Schizosaccharomyces pombe: one gene and its partner. The gene in region 2 interacts genetically with the main gene of each other region. Each region holds a gene or a part of one and is shown on either strand. Other genes may lie near its edges.

Evidence for each region.
Region 1: mutations in SPOM_SPBC365.16 (region 2) and psy2 together harm fitness more than expected from each alone (negative genetic interaction), as found in Schizosaccharomyces pombe (one large-scale study listed by BioGRID).

Annotation. Positions count from the first base shown.
Region 1 is NC_003423.3:891,668-901,762, forward strand, and holds psy2 (serine/threonine protein phosphatase PP4 regulatory subunit 3 Psy2), read right to left. Parts: upstream 5,748-10,095; 5' UTR 5,467-5,747; coding exon 4,755-5,466; intron 4,697-4,754; coding exon 2,898-4,696; 3' UTR 2,705-2,897; downstream 1-2,704. Other genes in the region: squalene monooxygenase Erg1, read left to right, coding at 1,012-2,385; dynein-anchoring factor Num1, read left to right, coding at 6,408-9,314.
Region 2 is NC_003423.3:2,524,113-2,534,207, reverse strand, and holds SPOM_SPBC365.16 (uncharacterized protein), read right to left. Parts: upstream 4,542-10,095; 5' UTR 3,221-4,541; coding exon 2,387-3,220; 3' UTR 1,994-2,386; downstream 1-1,993. Other genes in the region: ccr1 (NADPH-cytochrome p450 reductase), read right to left, coding at 1-745; gamma tubulin complex GCP2 subunit Alp4, read right to left, coding at 7,793-10,095.

The DNA of each region.
Region 1 (10,095 bases), 1.6 Mb from region 2:
TGTTTGTATTGTTTTGCATTCAAGCTTCATCAATCACCTTTGCTGTTTTCATTCAATCAAAAGTTTTAAACAACTCATTCTGTATGCCCAAAAAAAAAAGTAAAACAAAAGAAAAGAAAAAAACATTCTAATTGTTTATTTTATTGTATTTCCTATTCACTGACTCTTTTTTTTTTCATTCATTCATTCATCTATTTCCCATTTAATACAATCCATTCAAACTTGCGCTATCATTGCACTAAAGCAGCATATCATACTATTGTTAAATGCGTTGCGAAATCGGCGATACCTCTCTTCCTCGCTACGCTACGTTTGATTTCGGCGATCGGTCATTTTTGAGCCGTTGATTGGCTACTTTTATTTTTGCTTTGCGACAATATGGTCTGTTTTTGCTCAGCCCTCCCTCAACTAACTTCCTTCATAGTTCAAAACCCTAACCCTATGGGGTCTTGTCGACCTATAAAATCACCAAAGTTAGCTCCACGCCATCCTATCAGCGGTGCTACCGATTCCTGCTTCCACAAGTTTCTTCCTTACTCGTTGAAAGGCATTCGCCAAGTGCTTTCGCTCGCCTTCGTTCCGTTCTTATAATAAAGCCGAACGTACTGTCTGGTTGTAGGTTGTATTGCCTAATTTCCTTCGTTGAATATCATTTTGTGATTTTGAGCAATCTCTCTTAACGTCTTTGTTGGTTGATCTTGCTTAGTACACACATACACACACGTCTTTTCTCTCTTCAAGTTGTGTGTTTCCTCGCGTGTTCTCGTTGTTCCTGTTTCTCTGTGTGTAGTTTTCTTTACTTTTTGCCTTTGCAATTTTGTCTGTCTTGGATCGTTGATTCGATTCGTTTCTTTTACCTTTAGTAAACCTACTTGAATTGTAATCCCAGTGTCTGTTGCAAGAACTTCTCTTGTTTCACATTCATTCATTCCTTTTTTTTTCAAGTATTTTTCATCAGTATCTCTTTTACTTTATTTTATTTGTTATTCTATTCTTTCTTGATTATCCACAATGGCAACTCAAGACGCTGATATTATTATTATTGGTGCCGGTATCACCGGCTGTGCTTTGGGCGCCGCTTTGGGCCGCCAAGGCAGAAAAGTGTTGGTTTTGGAACGTGATATGTCTGAACCCGATAGAATTGTTGGTGAATTGCTTCAACCAGGTGGTATTGAAGCCTTAGAGAAGATCGGCATCGCCGATGCTGTCGAAGGCATTGACGGTCAATGGACTTCTGGCTATCAAATCTTTTATGGCGATTCAAACGTTTCCGTTCCTTACCCCAGCAAGCCCAATGGCGGTGCATACCAAGGAATTGGTTTCCATTATGGTCGCTTTGTCATGAACCTTCGTAAAGCACTTACAAGCACCCCCAACGTCACTGTAACCGAGGCCACCGTCAATGAACTTTTACGCGATGAAACTGGTGAGGTGATTACCGGTGTTGTTACCAGTTCTAAAAAGTCCGAGTCCCCTGTCGAGTACAAGGCTCCCTTGACCATTGTTTGTGATGGTTGCTTTTCCAAATTTAGAAAGGCTTTCATCGATCACCCTATCCAAGTCACCGATCACTTCTTGGGCTTGATTTTGACCAATCCCGATTACATCGCTCCTGGTCGTGGTCATGTAATTTTAAGCAAGGTTGCTCCTATGGTCCTTTACCCAATTTCCTCTACTGAAGCTCGTATCTTAATCAACTACCCTGGTAAGAATTTACCCCCCATGGAGACTCTTAAAAAATACGTTTTAGAATCATGCGTCCCAAACATGCCCGAAAAGCTTCGCCCTTCCCTCAAGGCCGCTGTTTATAACGATCGTCTTAGGTCCATGCCTAACCAATTTTTACCCCCCACTGTCAACCGTACCAAAGGTATGATCCTCGTTGGCGATTCAAACAATATGCGCCATCCCCTTACCGGCGGTGGTATGACTGTTTGCTTTCACGATGCCTATCTTCTTTCCCGATTCATTTCCCCTTCCGCTGTTCCCGATCTTCTAGACTACGAGCGCATTTTAAACCAAATGAACAAATTCCATTGGAAGCGTAAGGGTTACAGTTTTGTAATCAACGTTCTTTCCATTGCTTTGTACAAATTGTTTACCCCTAAAAATCGCTATATGAAGGCTCTTGAATCGGGCTGTATCGATTACTTCAAGCGTGGAGGTAATTGTGTTGAAGGTCCCATTCGTTTATTAGGCGGTTTAGACCATAGCCCTTCTCATCTTATCGGCCACTTCTATGCCGTCTGTCTCTATGGTATTTACCAATATGTCTTGTCTGGTCCTGCTTTGCTTATGCCCGTCCGTATCATCGAATCCTTATTGATTTTCTTACAAGCTTCGCTAGTAATTATCCCTTATATCCTTAGCGAAATGTCATCCTAAGTTTGCAGAATCAGTTCATTAAAATTAAATTATTTTTGATTTATGAATTGGTTGATTATGATTGTCTTGGCAATCACTGATAGCTATTTGGTTTTTGCCTTGTTTGGTACGTCGTTGTTTTTAAAGAAATAGTTTTAGATAGAGTTGGGTTCAAGTTTGTAATGACTTCACACTCTTTTTGTTTATTATATAAATCCCTCTGTTTTTCAAGAGTTATAAATTGCCGTTTTAATATAAAATACTTTTTTTTAATTTTTAAGCCTACTAAGTACAATTATTCGTCAGCGTTAAGTAAACAATTATCCCGAGACTACAAGACCACGATAGTAACATGAAAATTGGTATTTATTATTTTAAAAGTCCCTTAATGAACAACCCAAATCGTTTATATTATACAGATGAGTTTTCAAAACAATGATAAACCCGGGAACAAAAATACGATGTCCATATGATGATTCACTTGCATTACAATCTTCTAGAGTTTTTGGAGCTTCCCTTTTTATGTTCATCTTCTAGGAAGCGTAGCCATTCTGGGCAGAACTTGAATCGATAGAGAGTCTCTTTTTTGGTGATTCATCATCAGCTTGCTGATCATCAACTTGGAAATCCGATTTCCTTTTAGAATAACGGGTGTTTGAAACATTAATACCTGAAGATTCTGCAGAGGTATCATAAACTGCAGACTCAAGGAAATAACGATCCTCTAATATAGGTTGCTTTGGCTGCTCGCAACTGTCTTCAATATTTAGCTCAGCAGGGGCTATAGAATCAAGAACAGTACGTTGTCCAACTTTTTCTGATAATTCAGTATCGTTTTCAATAGAAAAATCTTGCTGTATTTCCCAATCTTTGGATACGTCGTCTCCAACACGTTGGTTATTATTGGAGGCACCGTCAAATTCATAACTATTTGATTCATGAGTCCCAACAGTTTTAGGGCTTCTTGAGTCAGAGCTTAAGCCATCTATTATATTTAAAAGCTCAGAAAAAGTACTGAGATTATTTAAAGATTCCAGCTGTGGTCGATAGTTTTTATTGAGATAATCCAGTGTATCTTCAGATCCCTCGGATCTTAAAAATTCAAAAAACTCTAAAGCAGCTGAGTTGACTAAATTAGTTTGGTCTTTGACCTTTAACATCAAGTCCAGAACTTTTCCGTATGTGTCAGTTTCTAACATGATCAAGGACATTTCTGACTGACGAGCGGCCAAACAAGAGCGAATAAATCTAAGGGCGCTCAAAACAACATATTTTCTATCGCTGTATAGTAATAGAGCCACTTTTGATGTAAGGGTTTTATATGTATCAAAACGACGAGACCAATAATCGTGTATACGAAAAAAATAACAAAAAAGCTCACACAAATGCATATACATATCAAGCTTTTTAACATCTAAACTCGATACATTTTCCAGCTCCAATAAAGGAGCAGCAAGCATATTAAAAGAGTTATCATAAAAATTTTCAATAAAATTAATTCCAATAATGTTATCGGTTTTATTTCGAACATTTCCATCAGCATTTCTGTAAGGATTATTGTATGCATAGCTACCAGGTAAACTTAGTAGCATTTTAAAAGCTTCAGAAATTTGAGCAAGTACTCCAGGATTTGATTCTTTATGCAAAATGTTAATTAAATTGGAAAGCAACGAATGTTGGGAAACGTGAGCATTGCTCAATGAAGAAGAAGCGTCCTTGCGATCTTGATCAAACTTTTGCCAAACGATGGCAGGTTCATGATCAATAATAGACACCAAAATATCGGAACCAGCATTTCGAACGGAATTGTTCTCATGTGACATTGCATAATCCAAAGCTTTCAGAAGATTAAATTTAACGAAAGTAGCAAATAATGCAGAGCAGGACTGGAATTGTAGCCCTTTAGCGATGTTGCAAACCTGCTGAATAAAGAATATACCGTCTTGCTTGCGTTGATCATCCTCGCCTTCATTCACATAAATGCTAAACAGTTCATGTAAAAATTTTTCATTTGTTTGAAGGTATTGAATAATATCAGCCTGGTTAAAGAAGATAAATGAATTTAGCACCGAAAAGGAGGGTTCGTCAACAATCCTTGAAACGACAACATCCCTTAGATACTGAAGCTTAAATGTCTGGTGAATTTTTGCAAGAATCCGTGGATCCTGAATGGGAACCACCTGCTTAAACTTTTTGGAATCCATTAAATATTCCCGATGGTTCGCTTTGATATTGGGGAATTCCGGATCGTATTCGAGAATACCAGCTACACACATTAGCTTTTCATCATTAGAGAACAACGATTCGAGTAAAGGGGCGTCGTTCAATTGCACTGACAGCGATTAGCAAGGATTTAACGAATCTAAAAAGTATAAAGTAGATTAACATACCAAAGCTTTTTATTATGGAACACAATCGATGAAGGTCATCTGTATTCTCTAGATCCTCACACAGAGGAAAAAGTTCAATAAGTCTATCAATATAATTTTCATTTGAAACATAACGAACCAAACTATCTCTTGATTGAATAGACTGCATATATCCATATACTGCTTCTTCAATTTCTTTTAAATTAGCAAGCTCTGGGGCTGGAAGATCGACCGTGTTTAGGTAGTTTTCATTAAGCGCCCCCTCATCCGTCAATATATCATCGTTGGAGTAACTTCTAGTTACCGATGATATTGCCTTTTGAACATTTGCTAAAAACATCCACATGTCTATACAACCGCTAGATTCTTGAAAGCTTAAAGCAAGATCAGTACCATTCAATTCTTGCCAGACTATGAGAGTTTCTTCTTGACGGCTGTATATATCTTCCGCAATCAATTGTGTTTTCAAAAGGATGGTTTCATTATCAGCTTCTGAACGCACAATGAAATAAGCCAACGGTCCCTCTATTTTTCCATCGCAATAACCGGTGCCACAGTCTACCCAGTTTTCATCTTCCATTTCGTACACTTTTACACGTCTGGGAATCGATGGCACTTCGATCTTCTGCAATGCAGCTGCAATTGCTTCGTCTAATTCCTCTTCTTCATTTTCTCCATCTGAAATTTCATCAATATTATTATTTAAATCTTCCTCTTCCTTCGTAGAATCCATTTCTACGGCGGATTAAGGGTAGACGTCAGCTTCGAATTTACGACGTTGGCGTTCGTCACCAAATTTTCAAAAGTGAAGACGAAATTCAAACGTGGTGGTGAATGAATGCAATACCGTAGATTGCACCAAGATTGTAATTATTAATAAATGTATTTCTCATTAAATGGCAATGCCGCTTTACTTAATTATTTGGTTTGCCTAAAATATAACAAATAGATTTGTTAAGCAGTGTACTATGTATATTTCACGTGCATAATTTTGAAGTGTTATGGCAGAATTATGTTCTTTATAGAGTCAAATAACTATTATATACGTGATCGTGGTGCTTTCAGTCACTATTTTTCATTGTAATTCGGTATCTGTTTACAACAATATCATTAACGGACGTTATGCATTTTAACGATGAGTACTTCACCGCTCGGTGTATATGCTGTAATCAATCCTTATATCGAGTTGTGTTTTAAACGTTTTATACTGTCTACAATTAGCATTTAAATCTTTTCGAAATAGTAAATAAACTAAATATGAATATAAATAAAGTTAATTATTGTCTAAACACATGTGTAGCCTCGTCAAATCAATTTTTTGCAAGTCAATCATGAGGCTCAGGGTACATTTGTAAAGTAATAGTTAATTTTTAAGTACAAACTAATGGTATTTATACCGATATATATATTGAAAGCTGCTAAAGCTTCGCTAGATATTCAAGTACTCTAGCAAATGCATCAATATAAATACAGTTTTTTTGCTTTTACTAAGTTTTATTGTTAAAGCGTAATACGAGAAATTTGCCAAATGAGAACACGAATTGAATTGATATAATTCCAGAAATAAAAATTATGTATTCAAGACGATGACTGTTGCGATATGCATGCTTACGAGTTTATCGATATATAAAAGACAAAGAGAGTTGAGCTTACCAAAACATATACTGATCCTTCATGGAGAAAAAACAAGATAACGAGGTGGAATTATATTCAATTGATTTAAAAAATAGAAATGAAAGTGCAAAAATAAAGCTTGCTTATGCGAAAGCGTTAGAGGAAAGCATTCTTTGTGAAACACGAAAAATCGAACAAGAAATTAAAGACCAAGTGGTTCAAAAGGAAAATAAAACATATTTTAATAACAAATTTGATAATCGATATAAATTACGCGACTTGGAAAAAAATTTAGCGGAGGAGGAGGTGAGAATTACGGAGATGCTTACTATTCAACGTCAAGACATTGCAATTGAAAGAAGGAAGAACACAAATTGCTTCAGTGAGTCTTCTCAAGTAGATCAATATTCAGTTACTGAAACCAATCTACAATATGCTACTAACATTGGCTTAAACCTTCTGCAACAGTTGCGGTATTTAAGGCTGCAACTGTCAGAGAAAGAAGATTTGCATAAAAAGTTGTCAGTGGATAATGCCCATTTAATCAAGCAACTTGATCTACTTTCTTCAAACATGAAAACACTTATGAAAGAGAAGACTAAGGTGCAAGGACAAAGGGATTTGCTTGAACAAAGACTACAAGGATTAATGAAAAAATTGACAGAAGTAGAGTCTTTGACCGTTTCACTTAACGATGAGAAGAACAAACTGACATTGGAATTAACAAATTTAAGAATTTGCCTTCACGAGCTTCAACTGAATGCCGAAAAAGGCGAAACTATAGATGAAAGTGAAGATTCTAAAAATACTTTGGTAACTGAGGATGAAAACGACGATTCTGTATTTTTGGAGTCTTCCTCGGATAAGTATTTTGATAGTTCATCTTTTGATGCGGAGCAAGAAGAGAAACACGATTTTCCAATAGATCCTTTTTTGTCGTTGGAATCCAATGTACAAACTTCGGTATCTCAATCATCGGCCGTTCTCAAATCCATCAATTTAGCAAAACAGGAGTTAGTGAGTGTAAATCATTTGGTAGCTGACGATACTAAAACACCGTCTCCAAATTTATCATCGGAAATAATTGAAAACACAAAAGCTGACATAAAGAAATCAATCAGGTCTCTGAACAAGGCAGTATCACCAGAAAACTCTATAGACATCGAAGATGAAACCGACAGAGATGATGAGTTTATTTGCTTCCTTTTGTCTTATCAGCAACTACAAAAGGCGCTGAAAAGTAACTTGGGCCTTTTTCAGCTTTCTTGCTTGTACCCACTTTCTCTGAATCATCTTATTCAGTCATTCTTTCAATCTCTCACCTCTCAAATTTCAATAAAAGATATTGACTCAAAAAATAAACAAGTCATTAAACTTTTCAAACCGACTAAAAGCTCAGATCGCCAGGAAATTTTTGAATTGGCTCAATTTGAACCTCGCCAAAAATTTCCTATAGATACGAATTCTTCAAAATGCGACATGTCTGCAAGTACTGAGATGCATTTGAAAGATACTGAAAAATTTGCTAATTTCAAACTAAAAGAAAACATTTTAAATCATTCTTCTATTTACGAACGTGATGTTTCTTACCTGCCTGCATTAAACAAAGGTGGACGTGAAAATTATTTAAACAATCGCGTCTCCTCTTATAGGCTTGTTAAACCTATTTTAAATTCCTATGGAAATCATGTATTAAACCGTATACAACATGATATTCTGGAGAATCACTTCTGTTGTCTAAAAAATGTCAAAGACTTTGTATGTGGTGCAAATACAATCTCCATGCAGTGGAATCTGCAAAAGAATATGGAATTTATCAGCTCTGTTTTTTCCTTAATAAAAAATGAAGTAAATGACACATCAGCTAATAGTGTCATTCTAAGGACCGATGCGCTTTCAAATGTTGCTACCACGAGGTTGAAAAGAAAATTAACTAGCGCTATTATTGACTGCTCGATTCCTCGTCGGAGGTTGCGCCACTATAGTAATCCAGAAATAGCTGAATTTAAGAATTTTAGATTATCTACGGATATTTCCCACAGTAATGTTAGGAATTCGAAAAAGCTATGTTCCAATGGATCTATGAATTGTATGAGGCAAGGCAAGGCAGTTTTTCCTCGAAAGATCCCATATCAAGAGCATGACTGGGAACAATGGGAAAAAATTGCTCAATCCTCGATGTTTAAGAATCGTTCAATTGCTTCACGTCAATCATTGGAAACTTCTGATGTTACTTTGGACATTAATATGTCTTCAAGACATTCAAACGGAACTTCCTCAATGCTTTTCAAAGACTTTACAAAACATAATAATTGGGAGGCGTCAACTTATCCGTCTGCACCTAAGAATACTCGTACTTATCCAACAGCTGAAGTTGAAAAAACTCGGCATGATTCCTCGCAATCAGCACGTCAATTGAAAGCAAGAAGTACGGCTACGACGATTTCTATTTCCTTGTCGACGGTGTCAGACGTATTCACCTTACCTCGCAATAATCTCAAAAGCAAAACAAATACGAAAAAATGCAGAGATAATTTGAATCTATCAGGTTTATCTTCTTCAACTTGTAATGCAAATTCTGTGAACAAATTGATGAAACATGTCATGATGGGAAACGAAATGATGAAGTACCCGAGAAGTGAGAGTTTCAAAATGTTTAAAAAGAGTCATTGGCGCTATTTTTGGATTAACCCGCATTGTGAAATGCTGTGCTGGTCTAAAACAAATCCATTTATTGAAAAAGGAAGGAAAAATCAAGTCAAGTCTGTGAAAATTAAGGGAATGACTATTATAAAAGCCCCAGATGCCTTAAAGAACGCCAATTTACATAATGAAGTTATTGTGATGCAGACAACTGATAAGCCCATCGTCTTAAAAGCGAAAAGCAAGAAAATTCACAATATCTGGGTTCAAGCTATCAAACAAATAAATCATAAGGCTATCTTTGATACTAAGCCCGGCATTTAAGCATGTTTCAGTCATTGCTTATAAGTTTTAAAGTAAACTGTTTCAATATTCCCTAACAACTTTTAAAGTTATACCAATTGTTTTTATTAAGCGGCATCAAATAGAAAGATATTAAACCACTGTAAACAACTAAGAATCAAATGTCTTAATCAGTTTTGTAAATGAGGTTTATACGATCAAGCTTTATTGCAATTCGACATGCACTAATGAGGATGATATACTTTCCTATTTTGTCGAAAAAATTGCTCTTTCTATACAATTCATTTTTAATCAATCAATTTATCATACGAGACATTTAAATAGCAAACAAAAGACGACTAACGTTTAAAGGTAACATCGATAATGTTAGTTTTATCAAAACAAATTATCCCGTATAAGCAAAAGAAGATTCAGACTTAACCTTGACGGAGTTTTATGTGCAAAGAATTAAACATTGCTATTACTGGTAAACATAACAAATCTGGGCGACTTTCAATTACTGAATGAATAATAAGCAACCTGTTAAATGATTTTAGTGCCCAGATGCACTTTCCGTGTATTACCCCAAGAACTTTTAGCGAAAGTTAAAAAGAGCACAATATATCTGGCTAGTTATTTTACTGCATCGTTACATCATGTTAAAACTATTAGAGCTTACCATACAAAAACTGAAAACGTCACATAATTAACTCGGTACTACTAATTAGGTAAACCGTGCTTTTGCTCATTCCCTGTGGTGTGTCTCTTCGATTCAATTTTGTAGATTGTTTTCATTTTCCTTATTCCTTTCTTTTTTTAAGAG
Region 2 (10,095 bases):
TTGGTTCTCCCAAAAAGACAGTAGAACTAGTGTTGGAAATTTCAGGCTTCTCAATAACTTCAAACATAGGATTGTATTCCTTGTGGACTTCTTGCAAATGGAACAGCTTACCTATCTCAGGTAAAGTATCATCCTTCCATTGTAAATAGTCCTCTTCAAGCATACCAGCGGCATCGTCGCCCAAACCTAGATTGCCCACACGAGTAGCGCCTAAACGAGTCATTGCAGCATCTACCTTTTTAGCCATTGCGTTATAATACTCATAGGTATGATTTCCAAGGCCAAAAATTGCATAACGAATTCCTTCGAAGGGAGTATCTTCAATGCCTTTTCCACTTGAAAAAACGGTATCATCGCCCTCAAGAAGTTGCAAAAAGGCCTCCGCATTGTCCGTAGGTTCACCTTCACCGTAAGTTGCGAGAAAGAATACCAATAGTTTTGATCTATCAAAGTTGTCCAAGTCGGTTAAATCATAGTTCTCAAGATCGAAAACCATATTGGTAAGATTGAAGTTTGCCTTTGCTTCCGTTGAAAAACGGTAGGCAAAGTCCTCAGCGGTACCAGTTTGAGATCCAAAGAAAACCGCGGCAGTGAGCTTTTCGGCCTCCATCAACTCGACAATACTGTCGGTAGCCACGACTCGCCTCTCAGGAGCCTTTGGCTTGTTGAGAAAATTGTTATAAATAAAGTAACACAAGCTAAGGATCAAAATAATGACCAGCAATACATATTCATAAGTCTTCATAATGCAAAAAATATAATAACCAAATTTTACGAGTGTTCAACTTCGGGATTTAATCCGCCTTTTATTCCAAGGGTAAATGTGCGTGTAAAAAACGAGTGAGTCAACAGAATTGTCTGATGATAGGCAGATGCGAAATAAAGAGCGAAACAGTACTATGCTTTTTTAGCTTGAACCACTTTGAAGCAGATACACTAAAGCGCGAGACAATAAAAATGAAGAAACTCAAACAAGGGTTTCTATAGCCTCTTAAACAAAAAGTCAAGTATTTATCCAAATACTCTAAAGAATCTATAAAAATCAAGATGAAGTATGTAGGCTAAGATACTTAATTAATGAAACAACTGCGCTTTATATGATGAGCACAATAACCATGCCAATTGAACAATCAAATAGATGCTAGAAAGCTTCTAAAGTAATTGACTTCAAAAAGCAATCCTTTCGGGAGAAAAGCTAATTGTTTTGGCAAACGCTAATACCTGGTCGCTGGTAACTCCTGCACCTATATACTGCTATAATATAAAAAAAAAAAATATAGTTCGATTTTTCAATGATTACTTTTTGAAAATTTCTATTAATTAATAAAAAACTATTTAATAAATTCATGTATTAATTTTGGTTAATTAGCATGTTCAACGAAGTTAAAGTTTGACAGATATAGATATCCAACATATGTAGTAAGTATGGATGGAGAGATAAAAATGGGAATGGGAATGAGAGTATTTTTAGATAGAAATAGTGTGACGGCAATCGTACAATAGTTAATTTATTGTGGCAAGCCATCGCAATAACAAAATACCTCGGGAAGAGAATTAAGCGCAATACGAAATTATGGTAAATCGGCGATTCTACTAGTAGGTGTTTATTGTTTTACTAATTATAATGACGATCAGTAAAAAGTAGGTGAGCTTTGAAAAAACCGTTGCTATACACTTTAGGATTTATTTTGACGAACCAATTAATATGGCTACCGTAGTACGGTACATTTTGAACCATTCAGTAAGCTAGTAGATAGGAATAAGCTATCGTCTTTCTGGTCAACATTGGAATGCAAAAAGAAATAATCTCACTCTGTTTATCGGTTTTAGGTTTCTACCGAAAGCCCATTCAAAGACCGTAAAACACTATCGGCAAAAGCTGTTTGTAAACGAACGATAAAAGAATAAATTTGCTAAACAAGCGGTCTTTACGGTTGCTCGTTTTTTGACATACACAAATTTGATACTCAACCATACTAAACACAAACGAAAATGACTTAAAATAGAATTCAAATTTTATTTATTAATGTACAAAAGAAAACCATGTGTCTCTTTGCCTCTTTATTTTCTCTTGCAGTTTTTCTTTTTTCTTCAAATTCTTCTCCAGACAAAGAAAAAACTCAGACGCATAAAAATCAAGTAGAAAACTTTTTTAAGTGAAACCTTCATTACACATACACTATATAGTTCATTCAAAAAAGTATGCAGCTTCATGTTCCAGATAACAGGATGTATGCCACTTTCCTTATATAGGTTTAAACCGTAGTCCACACACTTTTTAGACACTATTCAGTAGTGAATAATAAAAAAATGATGAAAAATAATAATAATAAAATAATAATAATAATAATAGCCGAAAGAAAAAGGAAAGAACGTCATGTATGGACTAAGCAAGAGCAAATTGTTGTTTTTTCATAGTACGTTGTTGAAGCGAATCCAAATAAGTGGTTCGTAATTTACGATTAGTAACACCGCCAATACCAAAAGCCGGAAGAATCCTAACCATACGGGCGAATGTGCTTTTTAGTAAATGCTTACGAACTTGCATAACGCGGTTGGCTGCTGATATGTTAGGTCCACCTCTGTTATAAATGTCAAGGGACAGGAGATGAAGAGGTGTGCTAATAAACTGTACGGCACAGGGGGTGAGCAATTGAGCGGTGATTAAACCACCGGGGAGTAATGGAGCAATCATAGGAGGTATGTTGAAGGAAAAGGCGATGGTGAGTGCATCACGAAGTCCATAAAGACCGTAACAAGACCAAGGGAGAGGACGAGGAGAACCGGTGCCCCAAAATTTGGTAAAGAAACTATCCTTCAAGATGGATAAACCGCTGTTTGCAGCGGTGACAGAACAGAATTTAAACCAGCCGGAAGTTTCCGCCTTGAAGACGGGATTCTTGTGACGAATGTTATCCAGTGTGTCTATGGAATTGGCCGTCATATATGTGCCCGAGTATAATGTAAAGACCAGGGCAAAGGGAGCGCTAAAAAAGAAGGCGCCTGGCTTTGATAAAACATATTTGATGGAGCGACTAACAGAGCGTAATAAAGTAGAACGGCCACTAGTATTTTCGACGATTGAGCGGTCGATCGTCAAGATAAAGGGAGAAATCATGGCACTGGCGGCTGTAGCGGCAAATGCATCGATGCCGATCCGCTTCCAGGTATTGGAGGGAACGGGTTTGGGGGACAAAGGGGGTTGACTATTAAGAGCCATGTTAAAGTCAAAGAGTTTAAAAAAAAGATTAGAAAAGATAAAAAATAAGAATAAAAAAACCAGAAAAGATAAAAAAAATATTAAAAACTTTTTTGTGAAAATAATAAAACAAGCCAAGCAAAAGGTCTTTAGGTATCTATTTTTCTCTCTTTTTAAAGGTTTAATCTAATTTATACAACGTTAAAGCTGAAAAGAAAGAGACGATTGCGAAAAAAAAGCAAAGCCAAAAATAATTTTTCTTCAAATAAACTGCACTTCAACAAATGCAATGAAGGAAAAAATTTAAAACGTTAAACACGAATAGTATAGGCTAACGGGGCAGATAGTACAGGTGAGAGGAAATGTCACCAAAAAAAGACAATTAAAAAGATGCTGAGTAAAAATGAAAGACCGAGAAACGACGACAAGACCAATTGAACAACAAAAGTAGTAGTAGTAGTAGTAGCAACAAAAACAAGTAAAGAGAGGGAAACCAAGTAATTCACACTTTGGAAATGTATATATTCCTTTCTTTTCTTTTTCTAAGTAAAAAGATATATATTATATCAACAAAAAAAGGTAAACCCGAAATCCTAAAATTATTATAAATACAAAAAACCAATAATAACCACAAAGTCCAAGTTAAAGCAAAACCACTTGGATTGTAAGAAGGAAGATTGATGGTGGTTTAAAAAAAAATAAGACGATGATTGGGATTGTGAATAAAAAAATTCAATTCAATTTGATTCGTATCGTTAAAACTGCTTCGCTCAATCAAAACTAACAGTAACGTGAAGTAGGCGATATAGGGAAAAGACAGAACGATTTCCAAAATAAGAACGACAAGTGACTAAGCCGTTTCTATAGCAAACAAAGGCTAAGTTTACAAGGGTTGATCAATCAACGGGTGGAAATGAGGTATATCGATGCAATGATAAGACAACCTTGTCCAACAATCCAACTAGCCAATGAGAAAACAAAAGTCAGACAGCCCACCAAATAGCAGGTGAACGAGTAAAAAACAATTAAAACAAAGGGTTTGATTCCACGCTTTGAGAGAATTATCCCGTACGTTTGAGATGGGGAAAGGATGCGTAAAAAAAGCGGTGGTGGTACTGTGGTGGTTGTAGTAGCGGTAGGAATGGCAATATCAACAACACTCTTCAGTAACAAATAGTACTGGGCAAGCAGCAGTATGAGTATGGGATAGCAGTGAGTAAACAAGAGTGTCTAAGGACTTTAAAAGATATTGCTCGTAATAGTTGCTAGTTGTTCCCAGTTACGCTGGTTCCTATCCTTCTTCTCGTGTCGTAATTGGATCAAGTGCTTGAAGAGGCGAGCTGGAAGAGAAAAAAGAGCGAACGAAGCACGTTTTATATCAAGTTGGCATCAATTTTTAGTCTTAAAGATTCTGTGTTATCTTGCGTTAAACGGGTCAAGATAGGGTGATGATCCCCTTAATTAGCAAGACCGAACAACTTGGGACAACTTGGGATAACGGACTTTTGCAAGAAAATTAGGTGACCCAACCTGGTATCGAGGTAACAGCATCCGAGGTAAAACCGAATATGAGAACAAGTACCGACGAGCTTGAAGGGCGGCAGCGGGGCAAGCAAAAAGACAAGGTGGAAGATGCTGTGTTGAAGTATAGGAGGAAGTGAGATGAAGATTTTGTATTGAGATGTGTTGACGCTGTCTAATAAAGGAAGGTTGCTGACAAATAAGGCATGCTCTTGATTGTTTTATTTTTATTTTTTATTTATTTTTTTTTGTGGTTAATTGTTTTTTTTCTAACTCACTTACTCATCTAATCATTTTTTCTCTGGTCCTTTTTCTCTAGTTCCTTTTTTCCTCTAGTCCCTTTTCTCCTCTAGTCCTTCTTCTCTAGTGGTCTTCTCATCTTTCTAGTCTGGTATTTACTGTTTCACATGCAATAGTTCTAGTAGCGATGCAGCTATTCATTGCAAGCGACTATTCCTACAATGTAAACAGTGTAAACATTGTAGAGAGTCGCTGCTCAAAATCTTAGAAACGGCTAATACTCTTTTCTACTCTTGCTTTTTTGTTGATTTCTTTTCTATTGTTTTCTTTACTTTACTTTCTCTACTTTGCTTGTCATTGCTAGGTCTAGTCTTGTCGGGCGAAACAACCCAACAAGAGTAAATTTTCAGATGGTGACGTTGAAGACTGAGATCCTCGACATCAAGATTTGGGTGTGATAAACGAACGGACCCTTAGATGGATAGCGTATTCACACCCTAAACCCGAAACATAGGGTAGCGTTTTTAAGGCTGCCGAAAGGCGAGTCTACTATGGCCCCTACGGTGGATAAGATGGATAGTGAGTAAATCCAAAGGGTATTTGTCAAGCAAAAAAATAAATAAATAAAGCAATCAATAGGTGGTGTTGCATTCGCTAGTTTGCTTCATTTATTAATTATTACATTCATTAGTTTTTTATGTTCGTTAGATATTAAAAGATCATCAAACTCATCCTTCCTCTTATAACGTCTCTTTTTCTTTTTTGTTTACTCTTCACACTCTTGCATACTTTCATAATTTTTCCAACAAAACTTATCTTGTCAAAGCTCACCAAATTTTATCTACGAAATAATCTTTCTCTCTCTCTCTTCATTATCAGTTAGCTACATTCCATTTTCCTTCTGTCTCCCTACTTTCTCCCACCCCGATCATCCACCTATCCATCATCCTTCATCTACTACTGCTTACTATCCGTAATCTATAAGAAGTGTTGGCACTCACTAATCCTCTGAATTTACGGATACTGCTCTTGAACTCGTTATCGCTATGTTTCGAACGGCGACTCTCTTCCTAAACACTTTCTAGCAGGTGGTTTCGCGATCCCAATTGCTAAAACACTTTATTTCATTTTCCGTCCCCTGCTGCCAAGGAGAATTTCGGATCTAAATCGACGAGGAAGAAGAGGACGGTATTGCAAAATTTGAGAGATATTTACGTTTGTATGAAGTTTGAAGAAAAAAAAAAAAAAAAAGAGGATGAAAATTTTTCTAACATACAATCTTTCATCAAATCCTTAAACTTGTTTTAGTAGTACGCTTACTAGAAATCCTTTTTTAAATTTTTTTTTATTAATTACCTAGTATTTAGCTTTTTTTGTTTTGCTATTTTGGTTCTCATATTTTTTATCTTTAGTTCTATTTCTATTCTATTTGTTCTCTTCTATCCTTTCTCATCATTAGTCAGATAAAATAAAAATCTCTCAATTCAAATATTTCGATTTCAATACATTCGGCTTAAAATGTTTCATTCGGTTCGAAATGCTCTTTTATATTCCGTTCCTTGTTATCTTCCCCTTTATTTCATCTTAACTTACTTATCGTGTCCATTTGTAATCTGTAAAGTATATTTGCTAGTTTCTAATTATTTCTTTCTCCCTCTCTCTGTTTCTCTTGTTTCCTCTTACATGGTGGGGGATTGATAATTTTGGGCAATCCACTGTGAGATAAGTTTTCGTTTTTCTTACTCCTTGATGCGATAATTCTAAAGTCATATGATTCCTTTGCCTCACACCCAGCTATCGCCCCCATACTTAATCATACAATCTGTACTCACTTTTCATAGTAACTCTATCCTTTCGTAATAACCATCCTACACTAATCTAAATTGACGTTTTCCTTCGATATTACAATTTTTGTATGCGCTTTACTAGCTTACCTGTTCCTTTGTTTACGCATCCATTAAACTTTTAACTGCAAAATACAATTACTAGAAATTCATTACGAGTGCACACAAATGAATAGTTTTGCGTATACAATACTATAACCACCTAAATTAAACCTTGGTTTGGTTTTTATATACATACATCATCATCATTACTGTCGTAGCAACTGTACTTCTTCACATAACAAAGTTCATTACTATAGCTGTCTATGGTACAAACGTTAGCATACATTGTATCACTTCAAAATCAATCGATAGCTCTTTAGACTAGGAACAAATGCTTAGCCTCTCTCTTCGTTCTTCCTCAATCACGCGGCATACTGCCGACTTGCCTTAAATTTAGCGACATAGCTAATAAAAAATTAGCGATCAAAAATCCAAGTTACCATTCCTCAGGCATTATCAGCAAACCCTGTTTCAGACATTTTAAAAAATCGATTATTTTTTATATAACACAAGTGTTGGCATATTAAACGCTCGCCATGCCTTTCTCCATAATCATTCTTAAATTCATGGCCAATGGCAGTCGTCTTTTTGTCAATTTTTAACCGAATAGTGCAGTACGCTTTTAGTGTGACAACTGGCCAAAAAAAAGTCCAAACTACTGAAAATGGACCAATGTATACTGCGGATAAGCAATGCTTGTTTATGAAGATAATTGGCCATTCCGCAAGATCCTCACTCCAAGTCATTTCTTTATTAACGAGTACAAGCAACAAGATGTCAAAGATAAGGTTATCCAAAAACCGACTATATAAATATCCATAAAAGTTTTTCTCCCAATTTCCATTGCTGTTTGTCAGATGTTTCTTCATATCTCAATAAAACAATAGTAACGTTGTTCCATTTGTAGTTTTTCTACCTTGCCTTGTTTTATCTTGTCTCTTCTTAGTTATCCCGTCAATTTCATTACTAAACTTAAAAGAGCCGCCGTCTCAGTACTTGCAAAGTAGTTACAAGCATTCACTAAGGATTTTAAATGACGACTAAAACTGTCTTCGTACCGGCGTAAAATTTCTTCCATCTTATCCATTCTTCCTTCATCAAAGCTTTCTTCGGAATTCTCAAGCAAATATAAGGATCGGGTAAACGTGGAAGTATAAGAGGCAAACATAGCACAAGTATTAAGTAATTTAGATTGTACTTTAAGTAATCGCGAGTTAGTAAGCATGCATTCTTTTAGACACGTATCCAAAAAATCGATATGCTCCTGCATTAAATTATCCACAGTTCGGGCGTTCTCAAGTTCTCCCATAAATTTCCCCCAATGTGTTTCAATCACCTCACTTGTAGTATAGTAGATTATTTTTTGAACAAAACTAAGCATTCGTGTCCTTAATAACCAGCTGTTCCTTTTCCATTGTTCGATTTTCGCATTGGAGGAATTGAGACGCCAAGCACTATTCTTGCTGTGCTGCACCCAACTATTCTCAAGTTGCATTTCAACGTGACGAAGTAAAAGAAAATATCTGAACAAAAGTTGATATCGAATAATAGCTTTGCGGGATAAAATAAGTGAAAGGGGAAATGGAACTTTATAGCATAGTTGCATCGTTTCAAATCCATTAATATCTTTATCGCTACCAACTTTTGAAGTCCCCTGTGTGCTCCGATTGTGTTCACTCTCAAAATTTCGAGTTTCATTGCCCACATCCGCTTGCTTCGTGATTGATTCATTCCAAACTTCGTTTCCCTGAGATGATGTTCCTTCTTCCAAACCACTGATACTTACAATATGCATGAGCCAGTCTATTAATGATGTTTGATTCACTTCTACAGTCACGTATTCTTTATGTGGATCAGTCGCAGTTATCGTACCAGGCTGACGAAGGGCTAAATCTAATTGCGACTGCAACTTCGTGATAGATATATACTTTGCAGGTTTTCGTAGCTCGTGTTGAGCATTGTCAAGAAATGTTGTAAAAAAGTCAGATTGATCAAGGAAAAAATAATGTTTGAGCGAGTACAGATGAGCGTAAAGAGACTGTGAAGACTGGAGTAATTGCAAGAGAGATTCATTTGCATAAACATAGGCATTCATGATATTTAAAGTAAAGTTATCATCATCGAAGGTTGAAGGCCAGAGCAACTGGTTTTGAGTATCGTCTTTTGCATTTAACGAAGCCAGGTTATTAACTCCCTTCCTACACTCTAAAACGACGTTCAAATACTTGCCTGCAAAGAGTACCTTGTTTTGTAAATCAAGCAATTGTGGAGGAACTTGATCCTCTCGAATCACGTATCGTTTTTCCCAATATTCATCTGTGTAGTCTTCATCAAGTTGCATAGATGTGATTCCTTTGTGTATTTTTATCATAAATTCATCATATGGGTCATTTACGAGCCCGAGATGGATCCACTCATTCAACATTTTTGTATAAGGGCGTGAAGCTTCGCGCAATAAATAGGTTAGGATTTTTCGTGCCACAGGATCACCCGCATATTTCGTAAGACTTTCGGTCAAAAAAGAAATGACTTGCCCACCTTTACAAACCTTTTTCTTAGACCTAGTGGCATTAACAACATGTGAAATGTCATTTCCTTCATTAAGTTGCTCTAAAAGATCGTCGATGTTACTAAGACCTAAATCATCGCTGCTGGAAGCATTCTTTTCCATAGACAAAAGCAGGTCACGTAGAATTAAATACACTTGTCGTAATGAACGCGATGTGGGAAGAGTATAAAGGCGAAGAGTTTGAAGAGAAAAATTTGGATCAATTCGGCTCTGATTTTCACACTGCATGATAAGTACCACGTAGTCCATCACAAACTTTCGCAAAGCAGCGCACAATGCGTGGTTAACAAATCCGTATTCAAAATGGCTTCTCGATTCTATAAAAGCTGTGATACTTAAATAATGAGACCCCATCTCTAACATCTCAGAAGCAATATCCTTTATACCTAAATCAAATCCAGGAAGAATATAAAACGATGGCGGCATAATAATGGTTTCAAACTCAGAGGATGCTTTCATGTCTTGGAGATGTACAAATACACCCTCCATGCCCATAAATGCATTTAAGAGTTCGTTTATGAGACATGCTTCCTGCTGATGGATATTTAAGTTCGAAGGATCGCTAAAAGTCTTCCCATCGTAAAGATAATTTAATTGAATCCTATCAGAAAATGGAGAAACACCTTCACTCTTCAAAGAGACATGATAAACGCTCCCTTCCTCGAGAGCTGGAATTGGAC